2 linked regions of the Neurospora crassa OR74A genome follow. The protein of the gene in region 2 interacts with the protein of the main gene of each other region in a pairwise test. Links are inferred from orthologs where the notes say so. Each region holds a gene or a part of one and is shown on either strand. Other genes may lie near its edges. The genes, in order: NCU03246 and cot-1.

Region 1 (4,362 bases), on a different chromosome or scaffold from region 2:
CTCCAAGTTTGCTTGCTGCCACTGAGAAACCCAAGACTCCCAAAGGCATAACCCTATGCTCTTGAACGCACCTTTTCTTTTTGTATCTCAAATGAATTATGAAGCCAATGAATCCGAGCTTTCGTTTGTAACACATCAAGTCAAGTATAATCTTTTGACTCATGAGAATAGGGTCACATCCCACTTATTTTACGCATTGCCGATACAGCGGCCGGACTGGTTGTCGAGTTCCCTATACTCCCAACTCGTCCACTCGTCTTTCGAACACCAGCTTCTCTGACGCTCCCAGGTGGATGGCGTTTCGCACTAGTGTTGCCTCGTATCTTGGTCAAAACTCCAGACGCGGAACTAGTGCGTGGAGCGTGGTCATGGGCCTTGATTCGTGCTGCGGCAGTACCAATGTTCTCGATATCGTTCGATGCATCATTATCCATGACTTGATAAACAGTCGTTTTCGTGGTAGCGGTTTGGTGGGTGACAGACCGTTCGGGGGGTTGTCCTGGTGAAGTTGGAGCAGCAGACTGTCTTCGCCGAGATCTTCGAAGATTCCATTCCTCCTCTGAACTCGGCCCTCTTGAGCTCTTGTGAACTGTGATCACCTCGGTTGTCACTTCTGTCATGGGAACGGGTTCTTCCTCCACAGTGGTCTGAATAGGTCCCCGGCCATATCCTTTCTGGCGATCTACTGCGCCCCGCTGCGTCTTCCTTGGCTGTCCTGGCGTAGGTGCGGGGAGGTAATCCTCTTGTACGCCGATATGATTGTCACGCGCCGACTCCCGATCGATCTCGCCTAGCGGTGTCCGAACTGATCCTCTGTTAGAGGGTGTGGACACGCCATTTTTGCTAGAGCTACGACCAAGACTCGTCTTCGACACGGCACGGACAGGGGTGCTGGGATGCGCTGTCCCGTTAGCCTGAGCGGCGGCGGCGGCAGCGGCTGCCATTTCTTTGCGCAGCCTCCGCTCAACCCGCTCCTCAATCCACCACTCCCGGAAGATGCCCTGGTTCAGATGTAACCAGTGCTGCTGAGGCCCTACGACCATGCCTGGGCGCATGAAGCGCATGTAGGCAATGACCTCGTTTGCTGTAAATCCATGTCGGTAGATCAGGTAGGCACCGATGAGGCAGCCTGTTCGGCCGAGGCCAGCTTTGCAATGAACAGCAATGCCCTTCTTCCTAGAGATGGTTTCATGGGCCATGCGGATGAATTTCCGTACGGTCGAAAGGGTAGGACATGTTCCGTCCTCAAAGATCATGTCGATGTGGTTGATTCCTAGGGCTTCAAAGTATGAGGGATTGTAGAGCTGCGAGTTCAGCCTGACGACAAGGCCGATGTCTCGCTCCGAGAAATGCCTGAGAACATTTTTGAAGGGCTGCGGCAGCGTAGGATGTGCGTCGACGGCGGCTAGGGTCTTTGGCAGAAGTGACCACTGCTCGGTCCCCTCGGGGGTGGGAGCAACCGGGGTATGCTGAGGAGAGGCAAATGCCAGGAAGTTGGGTGTAATCCAGTTGAAGTCGCCGTGCTCAACTCTCTCAAACTTTTCGTACTCGTCAAGGTCGAATGTCTCCAACACGCAGCAGCCTTCCTCCTTGGCCTTCCAAACGCCGTACACAACGTCCTGAACCGTGATGCCGTAGTCGGCCTGGCTGTAGCCGGCGTCTCTGAACGGCATTAGAGGGGGGTCAACCTGGGCGACCGGCGCAAGAGCTAGATGCGGAGGCCACGATTGGATCAAAACCATGTAGCAAGCTAGTAGACAAGAGGCATTGGCACGACCTAAGGTAACATTGGTCAGCAATCTTTGCTGTTCTCGAGGAGGCGGACTTAGATGACCTACTGCGTGGATCGGCCCTGCTCCAGAACACTACCGGCCTGTCTTTGTTCTCCTTGGCCCCAAGAATTTCGTGGAACTGCAGGGCGAAGCGGTAAAGGTGGCCGATGTGGAACGGGCCAAAATCGTGGTGGAAGGCATTGTATAGAAGAGTATCGTCGACAGTGAAGTAGTATGGCTTCTTACGCTCCGTGACCTGGTCGATTGTTCGTTGAGAGCGCTTGCGCGGGGACCGTGGTTCAGGATCCGGGTAGGGAAACAAGGTATGCTCGGTAGGAGGTTCAGAGTAAGATGCAAGGTACAATCGGTCTGTAAAGGTTAGTATACTGTAAGGCAATTGCTGATATTGTAGAGGATATTCAAAGGTGCTCATATTGGGACGAGCAGCTCCGTTGCGGAGCGGTGAACATGGGATGCGGGTGGATCATAAACATGGAGTTTTCGGACAACGGAGCCAGAAGCAAAACAAAAAAAAAATTGTAGCTTCAATTAAGAGGACCGGAGCGGCGCACAAATAATCTACACGTACCGGGAATGTACTCGATGATTTGCCCCAGATTGCTGGAGTGTCTGGAGGAAGGAGCCATGGCGTCGTGGCCTGGGAGGCTCAAAGTCGACTGTTTATGTCGAGAGAGCGATTGGCGTTGCGACAATGCGCAGGCGCACGTACGGGAATAGTGATGCTGTGCAATGCAATGAGCTACGTATAGGGAGGCGGGAGCGAAGGATGTTAAAGTCCAATTCGATCTTTTGTCGTTTGAGGGCTGTACTTGAGGTCGGCCAAAATTATGGTCGGATTGATTGACGGGAAGAAGGTGAGGTCGAGATCGCAGATCGTTTGCGCGAGCGATTGTGTGCCAACAAGGGAAAACCAAGCAGCCAAGCTGGGCTAGGTAGCTATACCGCGAGGCAAGGGACTGTGTACTGCACTGCAGGTGCGGGGTGGGATGAAAGGGCCAAAAACAAGGGCCAAAGCCTCCAAAGAAGGACGAGAGGACACCGGCTGCGAGAATGCAATTCTTGTAAAGAACGAAGGCACCGGAGGCAGGAGAATTGAAGAAACAAAGGAGTGGGCAACTCGATGATGATGTGCGAGAGGAGGAGGTCAGAAAAGACCGGTGGGTATGAGCTGGTTGCGGAGAACAGGTTTTGTAGCAGGTACGGCCTTTACCGGTACTTACCAAGAGCGGTGTTTTTGCTGGCAAGGTTGTATGTCGTGTGTGTATTGTCATTGGCAGGGACCCTGGCGAACCGGAGAACGAGCGAGACCTTCACCTCACCTTCCATGCAGAGACCGCCTCCAAGTCGCAACTGATCTTGCCCGACCGCTCTGCCTGCGCCCGGGGTTTAGCGTGGGCCAGCGAAGAATTCGGGGGGCTTGGTATCTTCCAAAACAATTCACCGCCCAATAAGCGCGTTCAAAGCTCCATCTCACCCGCCGTTGTCCTGACAACCTTCTCTCTTGGCATCCGCAGTCGCGCCTGGACCAGTAACATCCAATCGCTTCGCTCTGACGGGAGATCCCCCCCCAGAGCTCCACTTTCCAGCTGAGGTAGAGAGGGAGGTGTTGCCGGAGCTTGTCCTTTTTCTGTAAAGCCGCCATGATGCCTTTGCGCCCAGCACACGGCAACAACCGAATATCGAAACTCGTTCCCTGTTCAGCCAGCCTGCCGCCTACGACCTTGCGATAACTGTAGACGATAGTAACATCACTGCGGAATTGCCAGTGTGAGATACAGTTTGAGGTTCCTACAGAGTTTCCCACAAGGGCCTGTTATCGGTCATCACAGCCCAGGCACACTCGCGGCGGTTGGAATTTGACATTCGTCATCGGGTAGCGCTTACCACACAAACTCCCCTGACAACCGTTAGGCGAGTGCCAGTCTGAAACCCTTTGGTTCACGACAACATATTTCTTGCAAGTGTTTACTTCGGGGTTATTAAAGACCGCAACCATGGCAACCGACGATAACTTCCCCTGCTCGCTGTAGGTCATTTGTTTTTGATTGTTACTTCATTCCTTGTTCTGATATGTTTTGATCCTCTGTTTATTTTCCAATTTTTGAAATTTTTTTTTTTGATTTTTTTTTCAATTTTTCATCTTGTACCATTCGTCTCATGAGATCATCGTCACATCCTTGCTTCACTCAAACTCTGCATACCTTTCAAGATAATCGACACTAACACAGCAACCGACAAGAACACTCCGAGTGCCCTTCCCTGATGCTCGGTTAGCTTCTGTTGCCCTGCAGGCTTTGAGGGTGGACAAGGAGCTCTCCGGCCTCGTGAAGCGGGAACTTTCGACCGTTGCGTCTCCTGGCAGCGAACATGCTGGGGAGACGGTCCTGCAAGTCGACTACAAGGCCACCACAAACCGCATGCTGCGCGTTGCCGTGAATTCCTTTATGGACAGCCTAGCGTTGGTGTTGGAGGTGCAGGAGGAGATGGATGTGGATGTCATTGAGTCTGAGAAAGCCAGCATCTGAGGGCTGCTTGTGTCGAGACTCTTACGGGTTCACTCCTGCTGCAG
Region 2 (4,485 bases):
GAGGAGGAGGAGGAGGAGGAGGAGGCTAGGTGTGATGTGAGCCATAATATTCAGAAATACGATGAAGTGCGAAGGAGCCAAAGTGTAACATACTGTAGCCGTAGTTGCAGCCGGAGCGGCAGGCGGCGCAGTGGACGCCGGGGGTACTGGGTCGGCCATGGTATAAAGTGTTGCGCCGGCTGATGCTATTACTCTGATGTATGTCGTGTGGTGATGGAGTTTGCGCAATTACGGGCGCATGCAGCTTACTGTGACGGCGCGAGGGGTATCGTAGGGAGAGATCGGGGGGTGGTTCTCGCGGGGGGCGTCACAGTTGGAAGACAACTTGAAGAGGACGACGGGATTCCGTAACGATTGTACGGACTACGGACAGCGACTCCGTAGGAGCTCCGTTGAGGACCTTGGGGCCGGTGCAGCGGAGCACCCGACTGCCAAAATTCCCGGACACACTTTCTTATCGCGATAAGCCGATAAGCCATTCCCGCGGCGGCACCCACCTGCATCTTTCATCGCGTTTAGTGGTTGTGCACGGGCCATATGCGAAGGTCAACCGCACGTCATGCCAGTGACACTTGAATTAACTTTTAGTGTATAAATGCAGACCACGCAGACTTGGAACGGCCCAAGATTTTATCTTGAGAGTTCCAAGATAGTCTCATGTCTGGACTTTACTCTCATAAGTTGGGGAATTTAGTCAGCCCTATTGAAGCAGGTTCCATCTTTCTGAGCCAGAACTATAGGTTCTAAAAGCGTCTGCAAAGGGTACCTGAGCTTGTATAAGTCGGGCTACCTGTTCCGTGTTCTTACTTTCCCTGGATTCTCTGCTGAAGCATCGTAGAGGATGTCTCTACAGTAGACAATTGTATACTCGGTCGTGGCGACTTGGGCTTCATGTGCTGTCAGCGATCATGATGACCTCTTGCGTGATCAATGGGCACAACTGTTCCGAGACGCTGCAACCCCTGAAAGAACAGGAGCACCCAGGGAAGATGCGGTGTCGATGGCGCTAAGCGTGTTCACCCCACCTTCAGCTCCACCAGGATGCCCCTTCGATCAATTGCAGACCCGGGAGTGCCCGCTCCCAGCCAGTAACAAATTCCCGGACCAGAGTCTCGATGCTCTCGAGGTCCAATGCCGTTGCGTCGAGCTTCAACACTCGGGGGACTGGTGGTTTACCTATAGTGTGCTTGTGAGGCACGAGAAGATGGCAGCAGTGCGGAACAGACAGCAACGAGTTGACGTCTGACGATGAGGTTGGAGTCAGGGGTTTTCAGGTTGACCAGGGCACCCCATAGTTAGGTGGTCCTGTTTCGGCCTGGAGCTCACCACTGGACCTGGGCATGTCATCCCAAACATGGAACCCCTCTTTCTACGACCTCCTTATTCCTGGGCATCGTGTACTAGATTCACATCGAGGCCAGCTTCCTGTGGCAACAGAAAACGGAAACGTAAAGATGCTCCTAGTTGTCTGTTGTTATTCAAGGTGTCCTTTGAATGCGCCCGTGGCTGTCTCATATCATCACAGTCTATGTCTTGGTCACTTATAGATGGGATCTGTTAGGTTCCATGTCACCTCTATACGTCTAGGTCTTTATTTATACTGATACCGCAGGGACCCTGCCCCACCTGCTTCCCTTCCGTTTGTCTGATTCGTCCGTACCTAGGTTCTCCGAATTACAGCGCCCTGAATCGCCTCCAGCCAGTGCTCTCCTGTCAGACTCCTTCCTGTAGGTAGGCTGGAGAGGCTCACGTCGGTCACGCTTCCACTTTGCTTCCACTTCCACACTGCGCCTATCGACTGCACGTTCCAGCGGGACACTTCCACTTCGGACGGTGCCACTCAACCACCTGCCCCCCCAGCCTGGCCGCCCTCGATTCCCATCCCTACCATCTACAGTAGCCAACCGTCGTTCGATCCTCGTTGGACCCTGGTCCCAAGAAAAAGCAACCTCCTTTCCTCCCGTCTCCCCATACCTATCCCGTCTTGTACACAAACCCCTTTCTGTGCGCATAGATCCCATCGATCGGTCTGGGAGCTCGACTCTGATCGTTTCTCCATCTGCCGTCCCTCGGAATCTCGTCTGAGCTCGCTTGCGCCCTTCCCGCTACATACACCCGGAATCCACTGTTTACCGTTTAGAGACAAGGTACCAAGATGGACAACACCAACCGCCCCCATCTCAACCTGGGCACCAACGATACCCGCATGGCTCCAAACGATCGTACCTATCCCACCACCCCGTCCACCTTCCCCCAACCCGTCTTCCCAGGTCAACAAGCCGGTGGTTCCCAGCAGTACAACCAGGCCTACGCCCAGTCCGGCAACTACTATCAACAGAACCAGTATGCCAGCCACTACGCCCCTCCTGGTGCCGCCGACTACGGCTTCGTTCAAGCTCATTCTAACATTGACGGTACTAGCAACGACCCCAACACTGGTCTCGCCCACCAGTTCGCCCATCAGAACATTGGCAGCGCCGGAAGAGCCTCTCCCTACGGTTCTCGTGGCCCATCTCCCGCTCAACGCCCTCGCACATCCGGAAACTCTGGCCAGCAGCAAACCTACGGCAACTATCTGAGCGCCCCGATGCCTTCGAATACCCAGACCGAGTTCGCTCCCGCTCCCGAGCGGAACCCCGACAAATATGGCCCCAATGCCAACAACAACCAGAAGAAGTGCTCACAGCTGGCCTCTGACTTCTTTAAGGACAGCGTCAAGCGCGCCAGGGAGCGCAACCAGAGGTGAATGCTGCAGCGATGCGCTTTTGCCCCTACATCCCGCCGTGATCGGTGCTGACACCCTTTTCAGACAGAGCGAGATGGAGCAGAAGCTCGGTGAGACCAACGATGCCCGCCGTCGCGAATCGATCTGGTCAACCGCTGGCCGGAAGGAGGGCCAGTATTTGCGCTTCCTGAGAACCAAGGACAAGCCCGAGAACTACCAGACCATCAAGATCATCGGCAAGGGCGCTTTCGGCGAGGTCAAGCTCGTGCAGAAGAAGGCCGACGGCAAGGTTTACGCCATGAAGTCGCTTATCAAGACGGAAATGTTCAAGAAGGACCAGCTTGCCCACGTCCGAGCAGAAAGAGATATCTTGGCCGAGTCGGACAGCCCATGGGTTGTCAAGCTCTACACCACCTTCCAGGATGCGAACTTCCTTTACATGCTCATGGAGTTCTTGCCCGGTGGTGACTTGATGACCATGCTGATCAAATACGAAATCTTCTCGGAGGATATTACCCGTTTCTACATTGCCGAAATCGTCTTGGCTATCGACGCGGTCCATAAGCTGGGCTTCATTCACAGGTAAGCTTCGCCGGAAGCAATGCTCTGGAAAAGAGATACTGACACGGTTGTGCATGCAGAGATATTAAGCCAGACAACATCCTTCTTGATAGGGGTGGTCATGTCAAGCTTACAGATTTCGGTCTCTCTACCGGCTTCCACAAGCTCCATGATAACAACTACTACACACAACTGCTCCAGGGCAAATCCAACAAGCCGCGCGACAACCGCAACTCGGTTGCTATTGACCAAATCAACCTGACGGTCAGCAACCGTGCACAGATCAATGACTGGAGACGCTCCAGACGTTTGATGGCCTACTCGACCGTCGGTACACCAGATTATATTGCTCCGGAAATCTTCACTGGCCATGGTTACTCGTTTGATTGCGATTGGTGGTCTTTGGGTACCATCATGTTCGAGTGCTTGGTCGGCTGGCCTCCTTTCTGCGCCGAGGATAGCCACGACACTTACCGCAAGATCGTGAACTGGAGGCACTCGCTTTACTTCCCGGATGACATCACCCTTGGTGTAGATGCCGAGAACCTTATCAGAAGGTATGCATGCTTTTGACTTCCCCCAAAATCACGCGCTCACCATATTGACTTGTCATAGCCTCATCTGCAACACTGAGAACCGTCTCGGCCGTGGTGGTGCTCACGAAATCAAGAGCCACGCCTTCTTCCGCGGCGTTGAGTTCGACAGCTTGCGTCGCATCCGTGCGCCCTTCGAGCCCCGTCTTACATCCGCCATCGATACCACATACTTCCCTACGGACGAGATTGACCAGACGGATAACGCCACGCTGCTCAAGGCTCAGCAGGCCGCTAGGGGCGCCGCTGCCCCTGCGCAGCAGGAGGAGAGCCCAGAACTCAGCTTGCCTTTCATTGGATACACGTTCAAGCGTTTCGACAACAACTTCCGATAATTGCGTTACGTCTTCTCGCTGTCTGAATAATGAGCGTTGGTTTTCTTGGGGGGGAGGAAGGGGGCGTAATAGTGATGGCGAAAGGGAGAAGAGGTTGTGCTGCGGGGCGGCAGTATCTGGGTACCCCTTATACTTGGCTTTGACGTCTTTGCTAGCTCGCGGTGCTGTTGAAATTTCTGATGGCAGAGACACTTTGCTGATAGTACGCGAATTTTCCGTTCCGCATATATGGCTGAATAAGTACAGAAACATAATGTATGGACTGCATCTT

The links.
Region 1: the proteins of cot-1 (region 2) and NCU03246 interact in binary tests that used the Saccharomyces cerevisiae proteins (3 or more experiments, as listed by UniProt). The link is inferred for Neurospora crassa OR74A from reciprocal best matches to the Saccharomyces cerevisiae genes CBK1 and CDC14.

The regions. Positions count from the first base shown.
Region 1 is NC_026501.1:5,041,732-5,046,093, reverse strand, and holds the start of NCU03246 (tyrosine-protein phosphatase CDC14), read right to left. Parts: upstream 2,966-4,362; 5' UTR 2,420-2,965; coding exon 2,362-2,419; intron 2,142-2,361; coding exon 1,839-2,141; intron 1,778-1,838; coding exon 174-1,777; 3' UTR 1-173. Other genes in the region: NCU03245 (hypothetical protein), read left to right, coding at 3,788-3,819, 4,033-4,318. UniProt on the Saccharomyces cerevisiae protein: Protein phosphatase which antagonizes mitotic cyclin-dependent kinase CDC28, the inactivation of which is essential for exit from mitosis. To access its substrates, is released from nucleolar sequestration during mitosis.
Region 2 is NC_026504.1:4,484,355-4,488,839, reverse strand, and holds the start of cot-1 (serine/threonine-protein kinase orb6), read left to right. Parts: upstream 1-1,518; 5' UTR 1,519-2,155; coding exon 2,156-2,343; intron 2,344-2,421; coding exon 2,422-2,742; intron 2,743-2,809; coding exon 2,810-3,307; intron 3,308-3,366; coding exon 3,367-3,843; intron 3,844-3,901; coding exon 3,902-4,214; 3' UTR 4,215-4,485. Other genes in the region: tim54 (mitochondrial import inner membrane translocase subunit tim-54), read right to left, coding at 1-25, 94-159. UniProt on the Saccharomyces cerevisiae protein: Protein kinase that seems to play a role in the regulation of cell morphogenesis and proliferation.